Bombyx mori: one gene and its partners. The protein of the gene in region 1 purifies or fractionates together with the protein of each later gene. This does not show direct contact. Links are inferred from orthologs where the notes say so. Each region holds a gene or a part of one and is shown in the gene's direction. Other genes may lie near its edges.

What was found. Proteins that work in one complex are often made in the same cells at the same time.
Region 2: the proteins of ribonucleic acid binding protein S1 (region 1) and E3 ubiquitin-protein ligase RBBP6 purify together in Homo sapiens (co-immunoprecipitation; 3 studies listed by BioGRID and IntAct, with this or other methods). This does not show direct contact. The link is inferred for Bombyx mori from reciprocal best matches to the Homo sapiens genes RNPS1 and RBBP6.
Region 3: the proteins of ribonucleic acid binding protein S1 (region 1) and regulator of nonsense transcripts 2 purify together in Homo sapiens (co-immunoprecipitation; 5 studies listed by BioGRID and IntAct, with this or other methods). This does not show direct contact. The link is inferred for Bombyx mori from reciprocal best matches to the Homo sapiens genes RNPS1 and UPF2.
Region 4: the proteins of ribonucleic acid binding protein S1 (region 1) and serine/arginine repetitive matrix protein 1 purify together in Homo sapiens (co-immunoprecipitation; 4 studies listed by BioGRID and IntAct, with this or other methods). This does not show direct contact. The link is inferred for Bombyx mori from reciprocal best matches to the Homo sapiens genes RNPS1 and SRRM1.
Region 5: the proteins of ribonucleic acid binding protein S1 (region 1) and ATP-dependent RNA helicase abstrakt purify together in Homo sapiens (co-immunoprecipitation; 3 studies listed by BioGRID and IntAct, with this or other methods). This does not show direct contact. The link is inferred for Bombyx mori from reciprocal best matches to the Homo sapiens genes RNPS1 and DDX41.

What each region holds. Positions count from the first base shown.
Region 1 is NC_085114.1:7,346,608-7,350,673, forward strand, and holds the start of ribonucleic acid binding protein S1, read left to right. Parts: upstream 1-1,266; 5' UTR 1,267-1,436; coding exon 1,437-1,438; intron 1,439-1,523; coding exon 1,524-1,634; intron 1,635-1,900; coding exon 1,901-2,035; intron 2,036-3,279; coding exon 3,280-3,426; intron 3,427-3,520; coding exon 3,521-3,762; intron 3,763-4,066. UniProt on the Homo sapiens protein: Part of pre- and post-splicing multiprotein mRNP complexes. Auxiliary component of the splicing-dependent multiprotein exon junction complex (EJC) deposited at splice junction on mRNAs.
Region 2 is NC_085123.1:7,892,376-7,895,875, forward strand, and holds part of E3 ubiquitin-protein ligase RBBP6, read left to right. Parts: intron 1-586; coding exon 587-645; intron 646-725; coding exon 726-815; intron 816-899; coding exon 900-967; intron 968-1,057; coding exon 1,058-1,162; intron 1,163-1,712; coding exon 1,713-1,913; intron 1,914-2,371; coding exon 2,372-2,461; intron 2,462-3,500. UniProt on the Homo sapiens protein: E3 ubiquitin-protein ligase which promotes ubiquitination of YBX1, leading to its degradation by the proteasome.
Region 3 is NC_085110.1:14,017,255-14,020,754, reverse strand, and holds part of regulator of nonsense transcripts 2, read left to right. Parts: coding exon 1-250; intron 251-984; coding exon 985-1,130; intron 1,131-3,500. UniProt on the Homo sapiens protein: Involved in nonsense-mediated decay (NMD) of mRNAs containing premature stop codons by associating with the nuclear exon junction complex (EJC).
Region 4 is NC_085128.1:8,268,453-8,271,827, forward strand, and holds the end of serine/arginine repetitive matrix protein 1, read left to right. Parts: intron 1-910; coding exon 911-1,039; intron 1,040-1,158; coding exon 1,159-1,274; intron 1,275-1,378; coding exon 1,379-2,730; 3' UTR 2,731-2,875; downstream 2,876-3,375. UniProt on the Homo sapiens protein: Part of pre- and post-splicing multiprotein mRNP complexes. As a component of the minor spliceosome, involved in the splicing of U12-type introns in pre-mRNAs. Involved in numerous pre-mRNA processing events.
Region 5 is NC_085117.1:2,828,255-2,831,754, forward strand, and holds part of ATP-dependent RNA helicase abstrakt, read left to right. Parts: intron 1-403; coding exon 404-540; intron 541-1,380; coding exon 1,381-1,478; intron 1,479-2,583; coding exon 2,584-2,747; intron 2,748-3,500. UniProt on the Homo sapiens protein: Multifunctional protein that participates in many aspects of cellular RNA metabolism. Plays pivotal roles in innate immune sensing and hematopoietic homeostasis.

The sequences.
Region 1 (4,066 bases):
TTTTTTTTTTTTTGTCAATGCATTATCGATTGCACCTAAATTCATGCCATCTGCCGTGTACTTTTGTCAGTTTTTCAATGTTTTTATTGATGATCACTTTGTTATTGCAACTAAATAAAATAATTGATTAAAATCAAGGAGTGCAAGCTCTAGCTAATTTCTGGGTAAATAGGGATAGCACCTATTTTTGCTTTCTTAGCTTAAACTCGAATGCTAATTGCATAGCTTTAAATTGGATAACAAAGATACCCCCAAGACTCAATCATTTTGATCCTGATATAGCATTTTAAACATCAACAACTACCTTAAAATTGTTCATCAAGTTGGAATTTGTCCCTAACCACCCCGTTTTACCAGTACATACTGTTCTATGGATTTTTCTATAATTTCTACGGACTTTTTGGCGGGAATGCGAGGAGTGAAGTTGTGTGATTTGTTTTATTTTGTCTATTTAGTGTTTCTTCGGGTTTAAATGTGTAATAATGGTGGTTTATTAACCGTTTAATATCTGTGAAAGTGCACAAATGTGGGAAAATGAAACAAAGCCGCTGGACGTAACTTCTCGGGATCCTCCAAAAAGTCCATTGAAAAAATCTTAGTAAATGACCACCATTTTACTGAGATTAGATTTCATCTCATATCATCTCATTTAATTTCATCCCAGTTGATTAATGTCTCAAATTAATCATTTTCATTTCATTTCACTCCATAATATCATTTTTCATAAAATTAAGAATATACATTAAAATAAGATATGACTTAAAGGTCTCAGTTACCAGGTCATAAAATCTCTAAAAATATAATTTCTACAGGACTTTTTGGCGGGAACGCGAGGAGTGAAGTTGTGTGATTTATTTTATTTTGTCTATTTAATGTTTTTTCGGGTTTAAATGTGTAATAATGGTGGTTTATTAACTGTTTAATATCTTTCATTTTCCCTCATAATATAAATGAGGGAAAATAAAAGAAAGCCGCTGGACGTAACTTCTCAGGATCCTCCAAAAAGTCCACGGAAAAAGTCTTAGTAAATGACCACCATTTTACTGAGATTATATTTCATCCCATATCATCTCATTTCATTTCATTTAATTTCATCCCAGTTGATTGATGTCAATGTCAAATTAATCATCTTCATTTCATTTCACTTCATAATATCATTTTTCATAAAAATATGAATATAAATTAAAATAAGACATGCCTTAAAGGTCTCAGTTACCAGGTCATAAAATCCCTTAAAAACTAAATAATTTCTACACAATCTGTAATTGACAACTGATCTGTATTAACATAGATAATATCTATGCATAGATTATACACTTAATATTATCTATGAACTGATCGTGGTCGGCAAATGACGCTATCGGATTTCGAAGACGACATTGTTTTACTAAGGTTTTACATTCATGAAACGTAAATAAAAACATAGTAGGTTGAAAATGTAAGTGTTTCCTCAACTTATTCTATAAAAATTCTACTATTGTACATTTAGAGAGGCCCGTTAACATGTTTCATTTCAATACCAGGGCTAGAAATAAATCGCCTTTGCCTGCAGCTGAGAAAGAGAAGAAGAAACCCAAAGAAAGCAAGAAAAAGAAAGGTGACTCAGGCTCCAGCAGCAGTGATAGTAGTGGAAGGTATCCCAACTAATGTATTATTAAGATTTGTAACACAATTCTTTGGAGGTTATGTTAAAAGCGGGCTTTCTTTCTTCAACGGAAGTTATAATAAGAAATAGTCAACTTACTATACACTACTAGAAAAACCAAATAGATACAAAAAACCCACGCAAATTGTTAATATCTTGCTGAAGTGATTATTGGTACAAACTAAATAATGAAAGTACATAAGCCTTATCCTGGGAGTTACTTTCTCAACCAATATAATTTAAATCTATTTTCAGTTCATCAAGTAGTTCTTCAAGGTCATCCTCTCGGTCATCATCCAGTAGCTCAGGAAGTTCATCACGTTCATCTTCATCATCCAGCTCATCTAGCAGTAGCAGCAGTAACAATGGCCGTTCAAGGCCTAAGAAAAAGTAAGCTTAAAATTATAAGATAAGGATTAATATAATTATTATTAAACAATCTGCAATTTCTTAAGCCAAAGCGAAGTTTTTATTCAGTACTAGCTGAACCGGCAGACATCGTAAACCAAAATTAGCCAAATCAGTCCAACTGTTCTCGAGTTTTAGCGAGACTAACGAACACCAATTCATTATAGATGTTCATATTTTGTTAAATTTTGATAATATTATGGGGGGCACTCCATACAATCCTGCAATAAGGTTGAAGGTCAGATAGATCTTTAATAAGTTACAGTATATGCTGAGTAGACCATCAAAATGTAGAGCAAATCAGGTTTTTAGAAAAAGCCATCTGCTTTATATGTTAGCTAAATATGTTATGATACATTCTGTACTGAAGGAATAGGGCGTAGTTATAGTTCTTCAATCTCATGTTTCGAGGTGAATGACTGCATCAATATTGTGATATGTAAGGGCTCCATTAACACTAGATGGCCACAATCCTATCCACATCTAATGGAAAAATATTGCACTGGTAGGTTGTTATTGAAACAATCAATAACAATATTGAACAGTAGGTATTTAAACAGTACTTAATTTAACTAAAACAATATTTAATTTTCTATAATTTAGTAGAAATCTGAAAGTGATTACTCCTAAGCCCATAATAGGTCTTCTTTTTTCTACAATATGATATCTGATTCAGGAAATATAATATTCATGTAATAACCTGATATATGAGTCGTCTATTATCAAAGGCGGCAATCTGTGCATTTGGACAAAAAAAAATTATTGATATGTCAATACAGATTGATTTGAATATAATCGTCTTCTTCAAAGAATACGGTTCAAAACCTGCATTAAATAAAGGTTAATACTTAACCTGTTATTTATCTAAGATGTCGATCGGAAGAGTTTTGTGACTGCCAATGGAATACAAAGTCAATAATTTGTTTTCTGATTTACCAATAATTATCCAAAAGTCACATTGCCGGCTTTGATAATAGTTGACTCATATATAGTTTTCTTTATAATGCAGGGACGGAAAGCCACAAGTAAATTATTAATTTATTTCATGATCATTACAGTACTAATTAAAAGAGAAAAAAATACAATCAGAATTGAAACACTATTTGATAAAATAATAATTTGAAGTCAATGAAATTGATCAAAGCTTTTAAAATGTTTTTTTTTTATGTTTGGGCATCATGCATGTTAAGATTGCTAACCTGACCATACATTTTCTTTATTTTTAGAACAATTTCACCAAACAAGAGTCCACTTAAAGATCGTCGTGATGCTGATCGGGAGAAGATTAGAGATAGATCACCAACAGGAGAAAAAAAAAAATCTGTGTTACCTTTATCAAATGACAAAGCTAAAATTAAGGAAAAACAGGAACGGTACAAAACAGTTATTATTTTAAATTATAGCCTTAATACGCCATATTATGGCCCCTGGTAAAATAATAATAAGAATTTCTTTTTTTCTCTTCAGATCTCCAGGACGTAAGAAGCGAGAACGCTCACCACCACCACGACCAACTCGTATCCACATTGGACGACTGACTTTAAATGTAACGCGTGATCACATCCATGAAATATTTTCGACATATGGTACTGTGAAATCAATTGAGTTTCCTATGGACCGACTTCACCCACATAATGGAAGAGGATACGCATATGTTGAGTTTAATAATGCTGATGAAGCAGAAAATGCTATGAAGCACATGGACGGGGGTAACCAACTTAACACTTATCTTTTAACTTTAACCCTTAATATTTTTCTCCCTGTAGGGAAGTTTAATATTAAGTATGTGTTGGGGATGCACTGGAACAAATTCTCTATTTTATGTCTGCAAATTCAAATCTTTACCATGGAGCTTTTGTTGATTTTAATTCTTTATTGGTCACCAAAAAAATTCAGTCTGACTTGCACAAACCGGTAAAGATGTGACGAAAATTAGCATGGCATGGTCGCAAACGGACTACATGGCGGCAGGAGATAACAAATGTCTCCCAGATTCTAGACCTTGGCCCAAGA
Region 2 (3,500 bases), on another chromosome or scaffold:
TTGACAACATTGAGGAGATTGACGATTGGTACTTAAACTACCTATTTAGTTTTGCTTGTCAATTCGATATAACAGTCGTAAATCTGCATTGGTGGATTACTCCAGTACGTAAAGCGTAGCCCGGTTTACCAAAATGTCTCCTTTGCGTATATGACTGTAGCATTACGTACAAAACGTTTGGACTACGACGGTGCGCAATTTAGATTAATTTTGTTCGGTCCAAATAAGTCGTAATGTCGTTATATAAAAAAAAAACATAAACAAACAGCAAACAAATGCAAATGCAAGTCATAAAATATATCCCTACCACGAGAGTATTTTCTTGAGCAGTTTAATGTAGCTTTTTAAAGCTAGTAGTAAAGACTTAAATGAAATTTAAAACTACAAACACATTTTTCAATTATTATTTTAAAGCATTGTATCTGTCTTGTCATAGAATAATAATTTATAATGAATAAATGTTAATGGTGTTAGTGCATGAACTTGCGTGTAGAGTTCACCTCACTGTATGTCTTGGTATTTATTGGTTCAATGTTAATGTAATATTTTAATACTCCGTACATAATAGTTTAAAAAATTGTTACAGGCCATCAACCGATGATAAAACCAGTTGTCGAAAATCCAAATTCATCCATACCACTCAATGTAAGTTTAGATACATATGTATGATTTTATTTTTGTTGTGGAATGTTCCAAAACGAATGGTAAATATTTGTTTCTTTCAGTTACCTAGAATTGAAGAACAAAGGGCTAGCACTCCAACAATAGATGAACGAAGAGAACCAATGGAACGAAGAGATCCAATGTCTTCTCAGGTAATTTTTTTTATAAAATTTATGATATACTTGTTAAGTACCAGGTTTCTTATCATTAAATGAAATAAATACTACTTTTGGCAGATTCCGTACAATCGAGGTCCTCACCCGTTCGCTCATGGAGCATCGCAACCACCTCAACGTTTTAACGAGTAAGACTGATTTTCTTGTAATTTCATGATGACATGATTTTGCTCGCTAATTAGATTTAACTATGAATGTTTTTTTTCGTTTGAAACTAGTCCACCGCGATTCGGTCCGCCGCCCGGTCCTGGATTTGTTGAGCGTTTTCCTCCTGAACCGTATCAACCACCTCCACCCGGTATCAAAGAGTCGCCTTCTAACAGGTAAATGTAATCACTTTTTTATATTTGAAGGAATGCAGATATAATTGCATTTAAAAAGAAATTTAATATCCAAGGAAAAATACTGTTTTAACCCTTACACATAATTATAGAATCACAATGTGTTGTGGTGGCATTAGTCAGATCAATAATAAAATATACCAAATTAGCTTCAGTAAATTTATTTTAGGATATTCTATCTGAGTTTTGTTTCTTATTGATATAAATATTTTACATTTATAAAGGGGCCGTTAATATCTAACATCAAATAAAGTCATTTCCAATGTTTAATTCTATTCGATATTTTGGATCTTATCTTTGTTTTCTTCATTTTAGTGTTCAGTTTGCAATTTATTGATTTAAAAGGAGCGTTGTAAATTAGATTATCAATTTTAGTTTCATTTTCGACTTTATAAAATGTTTTTCTCGAAATGGCTCTCCAGAGTATTTTTAGAACAATTAAAAAAAGGGCATGGTCAAGTATTGGTTTAAAAATCCATGGAGAATTGAGTTCGGTTAAGGGCGTTTGTTTAACTCAGACGCATTGTCGTAGGCCGGGTGAGGATCCGCTGGAGGCTTTCAACCGGATGATACGCGAGAAGGAGATGCGAGCCAAGCGGCGTGAGGAGGAGCGGCGCCGCGAGCTGTCTCCGTCTCGCTCTCGCTCCCGTTCTCGCACGCGCACCCGCACGCGCTCACGCACGCCGCGCGTTCGCGCCCGCAGCCGCGCCTCCAGCCGCCCGCGGTACTCTAGGTTCGCTCGCATCTATCGCTCCCTCCCCTCCCGTGAGAACTAAACGAAAACGAACATTTAAACTGACATCTCGTTAACGTCATTGTCACAAGACGAAATATTTCGTTTCGTTCATTTAGTGCCTTTGTAATAAGATGCTTTTTGATTTATGAAATAATATGATTTACTTCTGACCGACCTAAGATTGTCCATAATCGATCGCTTTTTGCATGTCGCTTCTTTGTGTAGATCTAAACTTAGCATGTTCGTCTGAGATTTGCATAATACGTGGGTCGTCGAACTCGTTACCTATTATTCTCTTGTTTTTTTTGTAGTACAGTATCCGATAATCATTATAGTCATAATGGGTTGTGGTTTATTTATGAAGGAAGATTTATTAATAAAATAATGCTTGCTAATATAATTTCAAGTTAGTCTCGTCAAAGTCGAATTAAATTAAATTTACATAAATCTTGTAGGTCGCGTTCGATGTCGCGCGGCCGCTTGCGACGTTCACCGTGGTCGCCAAGAAGACGCCGCACGCGCAGCCGTTCTCTCTCGCTAACGAGGTAAAAATACAAACTATTAACCTGGTGACTGCGTAATAATCTGTGGTAGTTACGACGATATCAGTTAAACTTTTTTATTTTTTTTATTGCTTAGATGGGTGGACGAGCTCACAGCCCACCTGATGTTAAATTGTTACTGGAACCCATAGACATCTACAGCTTAAATGCACCACCCACCTTGAGATATAAGTTCTAAGATCTCAGTATAGTTACAACGGCTGCCTTACCCTTCAGACCGAAACGCATTACTGCTTCACGTCAGAAATAGGCAGGGCGGTGGTACCTACCCGCGCCGACTCACGAGAGGTCCTACCACCAGTAAATTAGTTACTGTTAAAGTGTTAATTGAATCGGTATTAGAAACTCATAGGCAGGGGGCCCTCAAATATACTATTTGTCCGGTAGTATATTACTGAGTGCACGGGCACGCGATCCCGCCTTCCCTGAGCTACTATAGACCACAACCTACTTTCCCGTGGCTACAGTATCCTGTCCTTCCTACTCCTAACTCCCTCTTCTCCTCATCTCCTTAATACCCATCCCTTTACGCGGCTCCCTCCCGCTTAACACACAAAGTCTGACTTGGCGAGGAAGGCAACACAACGCAGATATGCAACGTGACTTGACGGACTCGGCAGGTCAGCAAGGCAAGGTGGATGGCCTAGGGCGATGGTGGAGGGCATATAGTCACCGTCGGCCAGACACAACATCCAACCCCTTCTTCAGTCGTAGCGGTTTCCCGTTCCACTGATCCAAGAAGGGATAGGACGAGGGTGTGCGCCTGCGTGAGCGCAAACGTTTGCGCACCTAAATATATCCTGCGTATCTGACCGCTTCCGTTAATGGACTCCGAATAAGCAAAAGTCCTGTGGCGATGGGTAGAAGTAGAGAGGTCTAGCCTGATGTAAGCTAGGCTTTGTCCGATACCTGCACACAGGCGGTCTCGGGGGTGTGAGTACACACCGTGGTCGTTCTTGCGCTGCGAGTTTGGGGCGACGGCGTGGGTTCGGCAGCACCCGAGATGACAAAGCAGCCCTGT
Region 3 (3,500 bases), on another chromosome or scaffold:
AACTTATGACAAGCTACTAGTAAATGCACAAAATTTTGCTGAAGTTCTTGGAGAAGATTTGGGTGAAGCTGGTGAACCTCCCACTTTGTCCCTGACTGTTATAGAGACTCAAGGAAGTGTAACCATTGGTGGCAATGAAGACATCACTATGCAAGCCGGTACTGATCCTTGGCAGGACGAAGATTCTAGAACATTCTATACATGCTTGCCTGACTTAAAAGTTTTTATGCCTAACTATCAAATGAAAGAGGTAAAAAATATTCATATAAATTATTATTTTTTCATTAATATCACAGTTGGTTGACTGAGCTCACAGCCTACCAGCCGCTAAGTGATTATCAGAGGTCATAGGTATCATTAAGTGAATTAACATGCACTTTAAGGTCTCAATTCTATAAAAACGGGTGGGGCCACCCTGCAAACTGGAACGCATTACTGCAGAAATAACTCCGGTGGTGATACTTACGTGTGCAGGCACATAAGAAGCGTCGTGTGTGCCTGTGTTATCAGAAAAATCGTACTTTATACTAGCGACCCGCCCTCGCTTCGCTTCGGAAACATTAAATTTTATTATTGATAGGCGAGTCCCGCCATGTTAACCGCGGTTATTGTCTTACCGCGGGTAACGCCGCGGGGTAAAGCTAGTCTAAAAAAAGTAGCCTAAGTTACTCGTTATATCATCAGCTACCTATCAGTGAAAGTCTCGTCAAAATCGGCCCAGCCGTTCCAGAGATTAGCTGGAACAGACAGACAGACAGACAGACAAAAACTGTAAAAAATGTTATTTTGGTGTGTGTACCATATATATATATATTCATATGCATGTAGTAAGTGGTTATTTCAATATTACAAACAGACACTCCAATTTTATGTATCTGTATAAATTTATTTATTTTACGTATTTGAAATATTTATCATTGCCAATATAATTGGCGGTATTGTAAATGGGAACCACATTATAAATTAAAATGTACATTATAAAAGCAGACTGTGAAAAGCAAAACTGAAACGGTAACAGAAGAAATGTTAGATGAAGATTTGAAGGAGGATGAATTAAGTGACAATGAGGACCCATCTGTAGTTCAAGAAGTAGAAACTGAAGAAATACAACCACCAAATGTTTCCAATAAGTATGTTTATTGTTTTTTTTTCCAATATACAGAAACAAGCTAAATTAAAGAAAGGCTTGTATAAAAAAAATGCTTACATTAGAAATCATTGATTGTAAGACTCACTCCTCTCTCCTAATATTAGATCCATTTACTTTTAACAAACTAAAAGCATAGTGAAAATAAGAAATGTCTATGTCAAACATGGTAACATAGGTGATGAAAAGGAACAATAGAATATTTAAATACTTACATTTCGCTCCAATCTTGAAATCAATTAGCACTAGAAGCCACACCGGAGGGCAAGAAAATTGCCTCATGTCTCCGCACCGTGTGCGGCCTATCGGGGGTCACCGTAGAGGCCCCCTACAAACGCGGCACTCCCGGGCAGTGCCACCGTTGCCAGTTATATGGCCACTCCGCGCGTAACTGCAACGCGCGACCGCGTTGCGTGAAATGTTTAGACGATCACGCGACCACCGATTGCTCGCGCGTGAAGGAGACAGCGACGGAGCCGCCGAGCTGTGTACTCTGCCGCAAGCAGGGACACACGGCCAACTACCGTGGATGCCCCAAGGCTCCACGGAAGCGCCCGGCAAACGCGCCCCCTAAAACCGCTGGCCCAAAGACTTCGGCGCCCCGCGCGCCGAAACCGGCTTTCGTACCGGCTCCGGTGCCCACCGTCTCCGCGTGGGCGAAACCGTTGCCGTTCACGAAGGCAGGAACGACACCGGCACCCCAACCGCGGTACGCGCCGCAACCTCTACTCGCGCCGCGCCCCGCCCCCGCGCCCGCGCCCGGTCCCGCGCCTCGCCCCGGCCCCGCGCACTCAAACGATTTTACAATTATTCGCGACTACATCGCCGCGATAAACATCGACCGCATGCGTGCGTTCGCCGACGCCATGCGCAGAGCGGTCACGGCCGAAGACCGCCTAAACGCGACGTTCGAGTACATCGACGTCATCGAGTCCGTCCAGCGCACGCTGGTTTGATTACCGGTAATCAATGGCGTGCAACAGTAGGGAAAAACCGCGTTCCATAAAGTTAGCATTTTATAATGCTAACGGACTCGCGCGTCAGCGCGATCAAGTATATGAGTTTCTCCGCGATAATCTCATCGACATCCTTCTGGTGCAGGAGACCTTCCTAAAGCCCTCGCGTCGCGACCCCAAAGTCGCGAATTACGTCATGGTTAGGAATGACAGACTCTCCGCCCGCAAGGGCGGGACTGTCATTTACTATAGGAGGGCCCTGCACTGCGTCCCTCTCGATACTCCCTCGCTCTTACATATCGAGGCGTCAGTGTGCCGCATCGCGCTGACGGGACACCAGCCGATCGTCATCGCATCCGTTTATCTCCCCCCTGACAAACCCCTCCTGAGCAGTGACCTCGAGACACTGTTCGGTATGGGGGACGCGGTCATCCTGGCAGGCGATTTAAATTGCCACCACACTAGGTGGAACTGCCATCGCACGAATGTGAACGGTAGGCGTCTCGACGCGTTCATAGACAACCTCACATTCGAAGTATTCAACCCCCCGACCCCCACGTGCTATCCGTACAACGCCGCGCGTCGTCCGAGCACAATAGATCTGGCACTACTGAGGAACGTAACTCTGCGCTTACGCTCCATCGAGGCAATGTCAGAACTCGACTCAGACCACCGACCTGTCGTCATGCAGCTCGGTCGCCCACTCAACCGCGAACCAGATACGAGGACCATGGTGGATTGGAAGAAGCTGGGCACGTGCTTAGCTGACACCGCTCCACCAATCCTCCCTTGCGGCCCGGATTCAACTCCATCCCCCGAGGATACCGTCGAATCCATAAACATCTTCACTGATCACGTCTCGACGGCGATCATAAGATCCTCGAAACAAGTCGATGTGGAGGACTGCTTCCACCGCATCAGACTTTCCCCCGAACTTAGGGACCTCGTTAGAATTAGAAACGCGGCAATCCGGGCCTACGATCGATATCCCACGGATTCAAACCGGACTCGGATGCGTCGCTTACAGCGGGAGGTCAAATCCCGCTTAAGCGACGCCCGAAACGAAAACTGGGATAGTTATTTAGAAGAACTCGCGCACACTCACCAAGCATACTGGCAACTAGCTAGGACCCTCAAGTCCGAAACTATAGCCACTATGCCGCCTCTCGTACGCCCCTCAGGCCAACCACCGGCTTACGATGACGATGACAAGGCAGAGTTGCTGGCCGATGCACTGCAAGAGCAGTGCACCACCAGCACTCAACACGCGGACCCCGAACACACCGAGTTCGTCGACAGGGAGGTCGAGCGCAGAGCTTCCCTGCCGCCCTCGGACGCGTTACCCCCCATTACCACTTCCGAGGTCAAGGAGGCGATCGATAGCCTACAACCACGGA
Region 4 (3,375 bases), on another chromosome or scaffold:
TTTTACAATAACCTTACACAGTGCTACTAATAACATTTTAAGTTTCTATTTATAAATAACAATAAAAAAGGATGAGTCTAAATGAAATATTCATCAATGTAACACGCAATTCCTTATGATCAGCATTAAAATTTATGTTCACACGATTTTGATTATTACTAATGTTTGCCCAAGGATTGAAACTTGACCATAGTCACTGAGGCCTCAAAATTTAAATAAGGTATTAAATTTTTGTTGTGTTTTTCATAAACTGTTAATATTAATGTTATATTTAGATTATGAAAGAAGAAAACATATTAAAGATGCAATAATTTGTAAAAAAAACGTGCACTGTTTTTCGATTTCTTAAACGAATGCTGTACTGGTATATGTAAGTAAGCAAAGTAATCGTATCATAAAAGGTATTCATTACATAGATATTAAAACTGAAAATCGGGTAAGAAACGGTTAAACAATTTATTGTGTTTATAAGGCAACCAAATGATTAAAATTAAGACACAAAAAAATAAATAAAAGACAAATAAAGAAATAGTTTATTTGGGAGTGGCGTATGTATGATCAGGCTACACGTCCTATGTTGTAATAAAATACAAAGATACTTCTTCACTAGAACTGACAGTAAAGTTTTCTTATAATTGCAAGTGGGGTCTCAGTTTCGGAAAATAATTTTTAACCACTTAAATAATATAAATCGACGACATTGATGAATATTTAAATTTATGAAATTTAACCTTTTATTGAAGTGCTTATGTTACAAATGAATTGAAAAACAGTTTTTTTTGTAGCATACGAACCAATGAATGTATTTTGATTAGAAACCGTATTTATATGTAGATAATCTGTTTTAAATTTGTAAGGCATCGTGCTTAACGATTCCGTATGATTGAATGCGAGTACGGAACTATTACAGGTCTCGAGACCGTCGCCGCTCCCGTTCACGTCGCAGGTCGCGGTCGAGGCGTCGCTCAGGACGCAGGTCACGCGACCGACGCTCACGTGATCGCCGCTCCAAAGACCGCCGCTCACGAGATAAGTCCAGGTAAACTATTCCTAATTTTAGTCGCAATACCTTCATTTTAAATTCTAACAAATTACTTGAATGAACTTCCTGTAAAGTATCAAAAAAGGTTGAACTAATTTTATTTGCTTTTTCTACAGAGAGCGGAAATCGCGCGATCGCTCCAGGAGATCCAGGGACAGGAAATCTCGCGATAGAAGGTCTAGCGATATTATCAAGGAGCGTTTAGAGAAATCTGTCTCGATTCCGAGAAAAGGTAATATATATGTTATTTTAGATATAGTGATAAACCCAAATAACATTTATTACTTAAAATAAGAAATGTTCATAATATATTAATTTAATTTTTTTTTTTTATAGAAAATAATGACAAATTACCCAAAAAGCCTGAGCACCTGCCTATTCCGCGTGAGCAATCTAAAGAGCGCATTATATCTAGCACAAGCCGAGAATCATCAGTAGCTGTTGAAAAACCCCCACCAGAACCTTTTAATGACGGAAAAACCCAGTCAGACCACACTGACGACGAAGAGAAAGAAGATATTGTAAATATTCCAAACCTGCGTGAATACTCAAAAAGTCTTTCACGCACTCCATCACCGTTCTTGCGAAGACATGAAATTGACAAAAATAAGAAATCTGATGAAGTTTCGGGAAAAGAGCAGAATGAGGACGAAATAAAAACCAAGGAATCCAAAAGAGCTAAACGTAAAGCCCATCAATCAGATTCTGAAAGTGCGAGTAGCGAGGAGCTATCGAAATCCAAAAGTAAGTCCAAAATCAAGCGTAAGGAGAAGGGTACATCTAAGAGAAATAAGAAACTCAAAAAAGAGAGCTCTTCTAGCGATAGCGATTCTGAGGAATCTTCTTCTAGTGAATCTGAAGAAGATAGGAAGAAGAAAAGCAAAAAGAATGCTAAAAAGAAGTTGGCCAAGAAATCAAGAAAGAAAAGAGCTCGCTCGTCGAGCTCCGACTCCAGTTCGGAAGAAGAAGTTAAACACAAGGCTTCAAAGACAAAACAAAAAAATGTCGTCGACGAATCTGATGTTGATAAGAAGTCTAAAAAACGCGCCAAGGATGCGAGTAGCGAAAGGTCAAGGTCTGAGAAAGTTGAAAACAAGCTCAAGTCCAAAAAAGTCGATTCTGAGGATTCCCAAGATGATAGTTCGGATACTGATGCAAAATCTAAGAAGAAAAACCCTAAACGTGATACTTCTAGTTCAGAAAAAGACCCAAAACGCGGTAAAAAAACTGACTCTATTAAGGAAAAAGCCTTATCACCAGAAGTTGCTAAATTAAAGAAAGTAGAGGATAAACCAGCAAAAGTGAAAGTAGACGATGCTAAACCTAAATCTCGTGACGAAAACGAGAAAAAACCTAAAAAGAGGGAAAAGGAAGAGTCCTCTTCTGAAAGTGACCAGGTGTCAAAGAAGAAAGCAAGGAAGAAGGTAACAGACTCAGAGTCAGATTCAGACAGTGATGAACCTAAGAAATCCAAGAAAAATAAGAAACATAAGAAGCATTCTAAAAAGCATAAGAAACACAAGAAGCATAAGAAATCATCAAAGAAAAAAGAGGATTCTTCTGATAGCGATGAAGCCGAGGAAGAAGAGGAAGAAGGAAAAGTTAATAACGAAGATTTGGAAAAGAAACTGAGAGAGAGAGCATTGAAGTCGATGAAGAAACAAACTAGTGTTTCTGGATCCGATTAGTGTTCGGTTTTTTTTCTATTTGACTTCTAAGAAAAATTTCATTGAACGTACAGCATGTTATTAAAATATTTTAATGAATTTGCTGAAACGATTTTAATTAACATATATTTCATATTGTTAGTAATAATAAATAAAATAATACGAATTCGTTTTATTTATTTAATATAATATATGTAAATACATTAGAGCATCTAATTTTTAATCCCAAATTAACTATCCCTTGCACCTAACCTTTGCAAGCCACTTGTGGTAATTTATATTCATATCTCTTTTGACCTTGGTAACATGATTGGGGGATAAAGACTAAAATACTATCTAATTGGTGTGTTGTGTTTGTACCGTCATCGAACTCCTATTGCTATAAAACTATTTAAACTTTGTAGCCATGTAGTCCCTTGTCCTTGTATTCCTTGATTTATCAGTCCATCAAGATCAAATAGTAGCCATTTATTAAGATATGTAAAAAAATAGAAATCGTAAATATTGGTTGGTGGCTGCGATGAGACGTGGCGGGAGATGCGCCAATCTCGCTAGGTTACAATCTTGCAGAAGTAGATGGAGGGGCCTGACACAGGGTTCTTTTGCGCATCAACCCGTTTCTATCGAGTCATCTATCAAGTCACGATTCTTCCCAATCTTGACTGC
Region 5 (3,500 bases), on another chromosome or scaffold:
GTTTTTAATCGATTAGTTCATGAATTAAATATCTTAATAATTTTTCCTGCATCAGATACATACACTTTTGTGTGTGTGTGTGTATTTTTATTTATTGCTTTGATGGATGGACGAGCTCACAGCCCATCTAATGTGAAATGGGTACTGGAGGCCATAGACATGTACAACGTAAATACGCCACCCACCTTGAGACATGAGTTCTAAAGTCTCAATATAGTTACAACGGCTGCCCCACCCTTCAAACTGCTTCACGGCAGAAATAGGCAGAGCGGTGATACCTACCCGCGCGGACTCAGAAGACGTCCTACCATCAGTGCTTACTCTCCCGACTTCTCGAGAGCCCAATAGTCAATATGCCTACCAGTTGTCTCAGGAGTTCTGAAACACTAATTGTTCCTTCTAGGAATGAGGGTCCCTACGGCCTGATCATCTGTCCCTCGCGCGAGCTCGCCAAGCAGACCCACGACATAATACAACACTTCATCAGGCACCTCAAGCTAACCGGGAGCCCCGAGATCCGCAGCTGCCTCGCCATCGGAGGTACCGCGCCCCAATAGCTGTAATCATATTGGAGACCTTAGAACTTATATCTCACTAATAAAATAAGACCACGCTATATTTATAAACATTAACAAAAGCAAAACATTAACTGTCCCCTTCACACTCATAAGCTAGAGCGCGCGAGAGAGAGAGATGGGCAGACTTTTCATGATGCGCACGCAGTGTGACGTCACGCCGCGCGCTTATTCACAAACACTACACAGGCGCAACGCAAGTCGTCGTGGTCTAACGGATAAGACACCCGGTACATTCGTGTTGAAGCGATGCACCGGTGTTCGAATCCCGCAGGCGGGTACCAATTTTTCTAATGAAATACGTACTCAACAAATGTTCACGATTGACTTCCACGGTGAAGGAATAATATCGTGTAATAAAAGTGAAACCCGCAAAATTATAATTTGCGTAATTACTGGTGGTAGGACCTGTTGTGAGTCCGCGCGGGTAGGTACCACCGCCCTGTCTATTTCTGCCGTGAAGCAGTAATGCGTTTCGGTTTGAAGGGTGGGGCAGCCGTTGTAACTATACTGAGACCTTACAACTTATATCTCAAGGTGGGTGGCGCATTTACGTTGTAGATGTCTATGGGCTCCAGTAACCACTTAACACCAGGTGGGCTGTGAGCTCGTCCACACATCTAAGCAATAAAATAAAATAAAAAAACGTGTGAATGTGTTGAACGCGAGCTACATGTAGGCGGAGTGGGGGTGTTAGGTTTTATTTTCGTTACAGAATTTCTTGATTCGGTCGCCGCGCTCAAAGCTATGCTATTAAAAAGAATGCCCTGATTTAGTATCTTAAGTTAGGAATTTTCGATGGTAGGCGTAGCCGTCTCCGAATGCATGGAGGTGGTCCAGAAAGGCGTTCACATCATGGTGGCAACGCCGGGGAGGCTGATGGATATGCTGGATAAAAAGATGGTAAGACGATCAGGATTTTCTTTTTTTTTTTATCACGAGGAAGTCGCTGGACTCCCACCCTCCACGGGGGATGGCGGGTGGGGCATGTTGGAGTCAAACCGACTTAAACCTCCTGTCGCTCAACAACCCACGTCCGTGCCTCGCATGAGACAGAACTCATGAAAAGGCAAAGGGGAGAGTGAAGCGCTTAGTGCGGAGCACATCTCTCCCATCACCCTCCCCCAAGTCGATCAGGATAGAACTTAATTTTGACTGATCCGGTGGAGCAGCAGTTAACACCCATGACTGCTGTGCCGAGGTTCGCAGGTTCGATTTCCGCTTCAGGCAAATATTTATGTGATAAACAAATTTTTTTGCTCTTTATTTATAATCTATATATATGTATATATTTAAACGTACTAGTGGTGCTTCGGTAGTCCAAATTCGAGTATATTTAATTGAAATTATAAGTTTGAACATTATTGTTATTGGTTCTATTGTCAAAGACTATTTATGCTTCTATAATCATAGATTTCGCCAAGAGTCGCTATAGACAAATAATATTAAAGATAAACAATATTAATTTATTCTCAATTTGATCACAGAATTTAAATAATAAGAAAAGTTTGATAATAAACAAAGCGTTTTGTGTCAAATACATGGTAGTGTGTTTAATGTTTTTTTTTAATTGACTTCATCTATTTTTTATGCAAAATTAAAAAAAAATATTATCATTGTGCATTCCTTCTCTATATTCTCTATAAGCGTGGAAAATATCATACTTGTCCGACCGCGCAATTTTCGTAAAAAGGGTTACAAAGTTTTTGCTTCACGTATTAATATATAGATATATGTATTTATGTAACTATGTATGTATGTAAGTATATGTGTATGTATTTGTAATTTAATATAAATTTCATTGCACCTACCACTATTTACTCTGCACTCCCTTTGGTTGACCAGTAGATAAGGCCTTAGGTATTAAGTCTGCCAATCAAAAATTTACATTAAGTGTAATAAATAAATAAATACATCAGTCTCCGGTACCGATAAAACACAGGGAACCCTGAATTTGAGGGCCGGATATCCGTGCGTGTTTGGTTCCCAATTATCCGTTTACGTCCAGGTCCGGCTCAACGTCTGCCGGTACCTCTGCATGGACGAAGCTGATCGCATGATCGACATGGGCTTCGAAGAGGACGTGCGAACGATATTCTCTTACTTCGCCGGGCAGAGACAGACGTTACTGTTCAGCGCCACTATGCCGAAGAAGATCCAGAACTTTGCTCGGTAGGTCTTTTGTCAACTGAACTTTCAGCCTTTTACTGGTGGCAGGACGTCTTGTGAGTCCGCGCGGGTAGGTACCACCCCCTGTTTCTGCCGTGAAGCAAGAAAGGTGTTGTTTTTCCTACCTATGTTGATAGCCTTGAGAGGCTATTTCAGCTTCGCCCTAACATGTGGGTGAGCTCACGGGGCTCAAACCTGACGATGTTGCTAACACGAACCCTAGCAAGAGCAGTGCTTCGCAGAATCTACCACCGGATCGGAAACGCGACCCAGCACAGACATCAAATGGCTGATGAACCACTGTTATCACATGTTTGGACCTCAAGAAACATTACAGCAAACCCTTTACGGTCCAATGTCCTCACGCATTGGACATAGGACCGCCTCATGAAATTCGCTGCTCGCGTTACCGCTTTTTATTGCTTAGATGGGTGGACGAACTCACAGCCCACCTGGTGTTACGTAGTTACTTGAGTCCATAGGCATCTACAACGTAATTGCGCCACCCACCTTGAGATATAAGATCTAAGCTCTCAGTATATTTACAACGCCTGCTCCGACCTTCAATCCGAAACGCATTACTGCTTTACGGCAGAAATAGGTGGTGGTACCTGGGTAGCGCGCGGACTCACAAGACATCCTACCACCAGTAATTACGCAAATTATAACTTTTGCGAGTAAAATTGTGCGTCCCATTTATATTGTTTAATAATTAAAACACCATTCAAACTAGAAAGCGTGATCACTTCGCAGTAC